Linked DNA regions of Caenorhabditis elegans. The protein of the gene in region 2 interacts with the protein of the main gene of each other region in a pairwise test. Each region holds a gene or a part of one and is shown on either strand. Other genes may lie near its edges. The genes, in order: apc-11 and apc-2.

Evidence for each region.
Region 1: the proteins of apc-2 (region 2) and apc-11 interact in binary tests that used the Caenorhabditis elegans proteins (3 or more experiments, as listed by UniProt).

Annotation. Positions count from the first base shown.
Region 1 is NC_003281.10:4,593,268-4,596,215, forward strand, and holds apc-11 (Anaphase-promoting complex subunit 11), read right to left. Parts: upstream 1,158-2,948; 5' UTR 1,156-1,157; coding exon 1,057-1,155; intron 1,013-1,056; coding exon 941-1,012; intron 892-940; coding exon 655-891; 3' UTR 596-654; downstream 1-595. Other genes in the region: erh-2 (Enhancer of rudimentary homolog 2), read left to right, coding at 1-65, 110-234, 282-398; asb-1 (ATP synthase F(0) complex subunit B1, mitochondrial), read right to left, coding at 1,396-1,597, 1,719-1,917, 1,961-2,323, 2,366-2,431, 2,479-2,554.
Region 2 is NC_003281.10:8,078,618-8,084,309, reverse strand, and holds apc-2 (Anaphase-promoting complex subunit 2), read right to left. Parts: upstream 3,682-5,692; 5' UTR 3,659-3,681; coding exon 3,606-3,658; intron 3,563-3,605; coding exon 3,433-3,562; intron 3,299-3,432; coding exon 3,166-3,298; intron 3,121-3,165; coding exon 2,994-3,120; intron 2,951-2,993; coding exon 2,707-2,950; intron 2,662-2,706; coding exon 2,514-2,661; intron 2,465-2,513; coding exon 2,347-2,464; intron 2,301-2,346; coding exon 2,225-2,300; intron 2,184-2,224; coding exon 2,045-2,183; intron 1,955-2,044; coding exon 1,821-1,954; intron 1,777-1,820; coding exon 1,543-1,776; intron 1,499-1,542; coding exon 1,401-1,498; intron 1,354-1,400; coding exon 1,158-1,353; intron 1,114-1,157; coding exon 943-1,113; intron 897-942; coding exon 702-896; 3' UTR 609-701; downstream 1-608. Other genes in the region: K06H7.7 (uncharacterized protein), read left to right, coding at 50-349, 399-524; dcr-1 (Death-promoting deoxyribonuclease), read left to right, coding at 4,036-4,086, 4,132-4,294, 4,389-4,522, 4,568-4,727, 4,793-4,932, 4,985-5,356. UniProt on the Caenorhabditis elegans protein: Probable component of the anaphase promoting complex/cyclosome (APC/C), a cell cycle-regulated ubiquitin ligase that controls progression through mitosis and the G1 phase of the cell cycle.

The DNA.
Region 1 (2,948 bases), 3.5 Mb from region 2:
AACATCACCACGTCTTGATTCACGGACTTGGGGAGATTATGAGAGTGTAACTGACGCTCTTGATGGTAACCATTCCGTGAGAATTATTATGTTTAATGGAATTTTTCAGCTCTTTGCAAGATGTTTGAAGATTTCCTTTCCAAGAAATCAGCTGCTCCAGTCACATACGACGTGTCGCAAGTCTACGAGTTTCTCGATAAGCTCTCCGATGTTTCTATGATGATCTTCAATCGCGTATGTATTATTGATCTGCATATCCTCCCAAATCAATTCATTTTCAGGAAACCGGGCAATACATTGGTCGTACACGTGCATGGATCAAACAACAAGTCTACGAGATGATGCGTGGTCGTTGTCAGCATCCGGAAGGTGGAGAGAAAGTCATTGTTGGGTATTGATTACATTGGAAATATTATTCTCATCTCGCTCTGATCTTCATGTGCTCGCCGGTCTTTTATTTCTTCTTCCTTTTCAATGATTCTTGCTCAATTTACAATTCGATTTCAATTGCGATATTTTTATACTTTCTGATGAATTTCTCACTATGAATATTTCAATTTAAAAAGTCTTCGTTCTTGTTAATTTAAAATACAAATGAGGAAAACTGAGTATCATTTGACATGAAAAAATGGAAACACAAGATAAAAACGTAGATTACTCTACAATTGTCCAGTCTTGTCTGCAAAGCGGGCATTGAGCTCTTGGTTGGTTAGTTGGTGCTGCAATCCACTTATCGATGCAATGACGATGAAAAGCATGGCGACAAATTCCCAGAACCAATGGGCAATCATCTCCTGGAAACTTGCACATGTTGCACGCCGATTCAAATTCCATTCGACAAATTCCACAGGTATCTTCACCTCCTTGTAACCACTTCCACTCTCCACAAACCTGAAAAATGTCAAGTTTTTGAAACTTCAATTTTTTTTGACAAACTAACATGTAACTTTTTGACGGTAATGCTCATCCGAGTGTTGGTTTTTAATAGAATCCCTGGATGATCATCCTGCATCTGAAAACCGAAATATGATACGAATTATTTCTTATATGTCTTACAGTATGAAGTTCAGAACTGCTCATCGACATATTTTGTTGATCATCGTTTCCCTGTGATTCATCATTTTCCTGTTCGTCCATTTGAATTTGTTGCTCCATTTCTATCAAATGTGATATTTTATATTGACAATTAGATTCTGGCTCGTACGACGAAATCATTATATAGGTAGGATTGATAAATAAGGTTGAAACCTGTTCGATAATCACAATAACACGATTGAAAATTCAAAATTTTATGAGAAAGAAAACAACGCCACTATTATCATCACTGGTTTTATGTTGTGTGCGAGAATAATTTAACAAACGACAAAAACACTGAAAAAGGTGAAAGAGAGATCTTCAGACAGCAATACCCTTGAGTTGTTGAATGGCGTTTTGAAGGAATTTTTCCTGGAAGTCTTTCTGGGAGACTTGCTTCTCGACACTGTCATTGATCAACTTCAGCAATTGGTCGCGCTCAAATCTGGCCTTTGTCTCCTCGGTCTCTTTCAAATACTCGATGCGACGCTTGATCTCATTGGAAATGGTTTGAACATTCTTTCTGAAAAATAATTTTAAAATACAGAATAAAAAGGAGATTAGGAGATTATATTCAAGTAACAAAATTCGCGGTTTTTTTTTCAAAAAAACTGCGATAGAGCGCGTTTTATTGTTTAGCTCACCTATAAGCGGCCTCCAGCTGTAGCTGCATGGAATCCTTGAGAGAAGTTGGCATGCCTTCCTTGAGAGCAGCAAATGAAGCGGTTTGAGCGGCAGAGGTTTTGCGGAAATCAACAGCTTCCTTCAAATCTTCTTGAATAAGTCCTTTGAAGAAACCAACGCGTTCCTGATAGTCCTTGTAAAGACCAGCATCGATTTTATCTAAAAGAAAAAAAAAGTTATTTTTAAATGTTCAGTCACTAACAGCCGGCGGTTCTGGAAACCAAAAGATAGAAAAGAATCCATCCAACAGTCATATGTCCTTGCTCCTCAAACACCCACAACTCCTTGTTAACGAGGAAAGCAAAGAGTCCTCCGAAGAAAAGATATGGACCAGAGGTACCAGTAACCTTTTGGAATGCGGTAAACCACGAATCGGGCATCATCAAGAGACGAGTCTTTGGTGGGTACATTGGACGAGACGGGTATGGATAATTGGTCAAATCCCGATCTGGGTGCTCTTTGAAATCTTTTGGAACGGATGGAAGGAGTTCAGGAGCGGACCATTCTTTATTGCAGGCATCGAACATGGACTTTGGAGCTTCAGTCTCCGTCGGCAGTGGGATTCCTGTAAAAGAACTATAACAAAAAAAAACAATATAATGCTTACCTTTGAATCTATAAGCAATCTTCTCAAAATACCCGATGCTGTTATCTGATGATGGGGCGACAGCATCTGAAACAAAAAATTATATATGAGAAAATGCATTTAAATAAACTCACGTCCTGTTGCAGCTCCACGCGCAACGATAAAAACGCGAGAGAATGTCTGAGGAGATGACAAGCGACTCAACGACATCTGGAATTCAAAGAATTTTTGGGCGTTACTGAATATCTGTATACAGAGAATTCAAATAGAAAACTTTCAAGTTGTGCAAATTAACTATTTTTCTTATTGATTTGAAAGAAAAGAAGAAAAAAGAAAGATTGAAAATGGAAATATAAAACTAAACACAAAACGAGGCCGCGCAAGGTAACTCTGAGGGGTACTGTATTCGTTGCGAGACCCAGCGATCACCAGCGCCTATGCTCCTTTAAAATAATGTATTCGCGTTATGAAAATTCTACACTTAAAATCAACATAAAAAACTCGTAAAAACCCAATAAATAATAAAAGTATATTATTTTATTTGTAACACGAAAAAGTGATGATTTTTGGAGCAGAGTTTTGAGAAACAGATCAAAGGACCACT
Region 2 (5,692 bases):
ATATTTCAATTTCGATCTCTTTTTGGCAATTATCATTCTCTTTATTCAGAGTTGCCGAGACTGTGGAAGTGCTGATTTGGCAGTTAAAGTTCGCCTTACAGTACCACTTGATTTGTCTGATATCCCGATACCATGCAGTGAAGATATACAGATCCACGTGTCATTTCTGGCTGACGATCTCTTGGAAAGACATATATCATCAAATGTGAATAGAAGTTCGAATAGAGATGATCTGGACTTTTCGAGAAGAACGTGTGAAAAGATGTACGATTTGTATCAAAAAATGATGAGAGGACAATCAAGTCGCATGTACACAGAATGGTTCGATAAGTGCAAAATTTTTGTGAAGGTTCGGAAAAAAAGTGTTCAGACTGAATTAATATAAATATGATTTGCAGAATTTTCTCTTCTCCAAGTCGCTTCATCTTTATCACGGAAATGTAATACGTCGAAAGATTGAAGAGAGTCAAACGTTGAATAAACGACGATGCTTCATCTTTGCACAAATTTTTGATCTCGAATAGTTTTTGTTTAAATTTTTTTATTTCTTTGGATCCTCTTGAATCTCAAAATCGACTGTGCCATTTTTTGTTGTTTTTTAATAAATTGTTTTGAAATATTTTATAGAATTAGATCATCATAAATACCAGCTTTGTTTAAATTTAGAAAAAAAAAATTTCAAGATTATAAAATGAAAGAAGTTATTCGCCGTCTTTCTTTTCCTGAATGATACGATATGACCCATTAATGCAGGTTAGCAGTCCCAGCGCAACTTTTCTTTGCAAAAACGCGGAAACATGATCAAGAGTGGGTCCTGCAGAAGTTGGAGAACCGAACATACGGTAGACACGATGCATCCGTTCCGCTTTCACTTCTCCGTTAGGTGCATGATTGGCCTGAAAATTGATTTTTTTATTCTTATATATTTTAAGTTTTACTTACAATGAAATTTCTAGTATATCCCCAATATTGTTCTAAAGCATCAACCATATCAGAATTCTCTTCCGGTTCCACATCTTCATCGTCTTCAAGGTCCGGTGTGCCTGGTCGAACGATGGAAATTCCACTTGGATTCCGGGTCAATGTCCACGTGTCGCTACTGATAATGGGATTCTGAGAATGAAATTATATGATAACTTAATAATTTTCTATTTTACCATGCAAATAAATCCTTGTTTAACCAGCCATTCCAATCGTTTTCTTGTCACAACCACTGACATTCCCATTTTCTCGACTACTTCAGCAGTTGTCCATGTTTCTTTTTCGAGGAACAAGAAGAGGAGAAGAGCGTACATATTTGGAATTGTTCGATCTACTTCAACTCCATCGATATTGATAGAAACCTCTACACATCTTTAAAAAGTTAAAATTCACATGATAATTCAACAAATGAAACTTACCCAACACTTCTTAACCATTCTAATTTTCTGTCGCGCTTCACGTCCAGATAAGTTTCTTGGTAAACGTCCATCGCAGCTTGCAATGGTTGAGGCATTAACTGAAATAATTTTTCATATTGTAACATTGTTGCAATATTCTCACCGCTTCTGTTTTTTCAGTTTCCAACTTTGGCCAATAATGACTTGAGATGATACATGCAGAAATTGGAATAATCGGAACATCATAATTTCCAGCGCTTCTTTCACTCATGTCTTCAAACTTTTTATCAATATCGAGACTATGAATAACGTCCCGAAGCATCACTTCACAATGTTGTAGCTCACTGTATTGGAATCTCAGTTTCAGCAAGTCCAGGTATCGCTTCTCGAATTCAGGCTAAAAAAGATATAGACTTCGTTGAAAACGAAAAGAGTACTTACATCTTTGTTGTCCGAACTCGAAAGTCGTTCAGCAAGAAGATTTCTATATTCTTTGACAAAAAGTTCTTTGGATCCATATACAGAGACAAGCATATTGAAGACGTCAACACCTTGATGCCCGGGTGCTCCATCACCTGAAAATAAGAATAACATTTTAATAACTTTTACTGAATTTGAGAGAATTGTCATTGAACTTCCGTGAGTTTTTATCTGTAATCACTAACCAACAGTAGCATCAGTTGGGTTAGGCATCCAGTTTTCCCATCCAAGCGTCTCCATATTTTCTGGCAAAAAATCATCGTTGACACCTTTCAGTTCTTCCTCGTCCATCATTGCCGATCGAACAGTTTTAGACTGTAAGCTCTTGAAAAGTGTTAGAAAACGTTTTTTTAGTACACGCTTACCATATCTTTTTCCAGTTCATTTTTCTTATTAGAAGTAATGTAACTGATAATTTGTTGTACAGTGTCAGGTCGCCTTCTGAAAAAAAAATTAAATATAATTAAACAATCAGGAAATAGCTTACTTCAAATATTCTCTGATAACTCCACAAACTTTATGCATAACCACGCAACTATTGTCCATTTCACGAAGAGATTCTACGCACGCCGCATAAGCTTTCAAAATGTCTTTTGTATCAACCGCTGAAATTTTAAATATTTAAGTTTTAAATAATTCCCCTCACCAACTTACATGCAACAAGAAGTTTTGTGTTAACTTGATCTATCAAGTAATTTGTGAAATCGACTCTCCCATGATTATTAGTTCTCAAAAGGCAATATTTCATTGTGATGAGACTGCGAAATTTTACTGGAAAATCTACGGCGATCATTTCATATGCCTACAAAAAATATTTTTTAGGTTCCAAATTTTTTTAAAAACTCACGTTTTTGGAAAGCATTTGGAAGACATCTTTGTAAATAGTGTCACTAATTAAATGGAATGCGTCTTGCATTGTTACTTGATCTGACCAAATCCTCAGACTCTCCATAATTTCTTGAAACATTGAACATCTCAGCTCATTGTCAAAAGCCGCTTTCTCGTGCATCACCAATGTTGCAGCAAGCTCGCGAATATACACTGAAAGTGCTGCGTTCATGTGACGATTTGCATTGAGAATTCCAGTTTTTCTGAAAATGTTATATATAATTTAGGAAGTCAGGCTTTACCCACAATTCATTGACAAAAGGATTAAAATCTTGAACATATTGCCCGCATATTTCTTTTTTTTCTGGTGTCCACAGCTCTTGGTTTAAATCGATTCCATGATCGATTTTTCGATGAGGAAGGTACATGGCAACTGAAAAATGTTATTGGAAACTGGGGCTGAATGAAAAAAAAATACGTCTGTAATTAGTGAAGTGCGACATAAAATAAGGTCTGAGAACTTTGATAACAACTTTCTGCATGGCCAGTGGGAAGATGAGCTCTGCAGCATCGCGAATATCCGGTTGACCAACGCCTTTTTCCAATGCAAACTGAAATTATTTTCCATTAGCTTGTTACACCTCTATTTTCTGACCGTTTTCCATAAGGAGAAGATTTTTCAGAGCATTTAATTGAGAATAAGGCTAATTTGTTCTTGATTGGATTTAAAAATTTTAAAACTCACCATCAGGCATTCTTGCTGTACTCGTTGCAGAACTGTCGTCATATCATAAACTTTTTCAATATTTTTTGCGTATTTTGCGTGATATATCAGAGCATCCCAGACTTCTTTTTTCTTTGAGACGCAAAATTGTCTGAAAACTGTCTTTACGGAACTCATTTTCAAAAATTCCATACCTGTACTTCATCGCAGCCTCTTTCGAAGTAGTCATTCTGTCAAAAATGGACATTTTCGAAATGGTTAAAATAATTTCAGCAAGGATACGAGAAGAGAACGATGACAAATGTGTGAGAAACTGTATATATTAAAGGATCATGCTTAAAACGAAGGTTGGGGTCTCGGAAACTACATTTCCACAAAAACCGCGAATAAATGTTCCTTTAAAAATTATACGAAAAAATGTTTGTTTCTTTTTTTTCACACGATTTTTCAGAGTATTTTCTTTCAAATTTCTGTCGATTCCACTTTTCCTCCGTCTTTTGAATGTTCCCATGAAAGAGACATAGACATTGGTTCAGTAGAGCGCATACTACGGGGCAGTCAGCGGCAATTATTTTTTATTGTAATTTTTGAACATTATCAATTTTCCCTGTTTTCAGACCAATAATGGTCAGGGTAAGAGCTGATTTACAATGTTTTAACCCCAGGGACTACCAGGTAATTTTTAAGTAGCAAAATAAATTAAAAATAATCGATTTTCAGGTGGAACTTTTGGATAAAGCGACAAAAAAGAACACAATCGTCCAACTAGGCACTGGTTCAGGAAAAACTTTCATTGCAGTTCTACTGCTGAAAGAATATGGAGTTCAATTGTTTGCACCATTGGATCAGGGTGGAAAACGAGCGTTTTTTGTTGTAGAGAAAGGTAATTTCGTCTATTAAAAATAAGCCAGCTGGCCAGTAAAGTGAATAATTGACAAAAAAAAACAAGATTTATTCTAAAACATCATTTTTTCCAGTAAACCTCGTTGAACAACAAGCTATCCACATCGAAGTTCACACAAGTTTCAAAGTTGGTCAGGTCCACGGACAGACAAGTAGTGGTTTATGGGACAGCAAAGAACAATGTGATCAGTTCATGAAGAGGCACCATGTGAGTGAGAATACGAAGCTGAACTATCGAGCATATATATTTCAGGTTGTTGTGATCACAGCTCAATGCCTTCTTGATTTGATTCGACATGCGTACTTGAAAATTGAAGACATGTGTGTTCTGATCTTTGACGAATGTCATCATGCTCTCGGTTCTCAACATCCATACAGAAGCATCATGGTCGATTATAAGTTATTGAAAAAGGGTAAGTATTGAGGAATTAATGGTGAAACTTCGAATTCGCTTCAAAATACGGAAATATTTTTTCAGACAAACCCGTCCCACGTGTATTAGGACTCACAGCCAGTCTTATCAAAGCGAAAGTTGCGCCGGAAAAACTAATGGAACAGTTAAAAAAGTTGGAATCTGCGATGGACAGTGTTATAGAGACAGCTAGTGATTTAGTCTCGGTATGATTTAAAAAAGACAAACAAAGACTTGTTTCCAATAAAACTAATTTAGCTCTCGAAATACGGTGCGAAACCCTATGAAGTTGTGATCATCTGCAAAGACTTTGAAATTGGGTGCCTGGGTATTCCGAATTTCGACACAGTTATAGAAATATTTGATGAAACTGTAGCCTTTGTGAACACCACAACAGAATTTCATCCAGATCTAGATTTGGATCCTCGTAGACCGATTAAAGATTCTCTCAAGACGACGCGAGCTGTTTTTCGTCAACTGGGACCTTGGGCGGCATGGCGAACGGCTCAAGTTTGGGAGAAAGAGTTGGGAAAAATTATAAAATCTCAAGTGCTACCGGATAAGACGTTGCGGTTTTTGAATATGGCAAAAACATCTATGATTACGATTAAAAGATTGTTGGAACCGGAGGTGCGTACCTAACAAGAGACGTTGGAAAATGGTACCTCGAAGTATCGTTATGGTATAGCAATTTTTCGACAAAAAAGTGTTATCATTCGAAAAAGTTCGTAACTCCCTACTCACCAAGAGAGCTACAAATCTTGAGCAAGATTTCAAATTGTAAGATTGTAGCTCAATTCATGGCTTTTTGAGAATTATGGGCTGAAGCTTGAATGCTATATGTTTTTTAAAAACAATTTACGAATATTTGGAAACACTTTTTTTAAGTTGAAAGTTTTTTCAAAAGGGGTGAAACTGCTCGGACGCAGCTGAATTTTTGGAATGATCCTCAATAACACTTTTAAT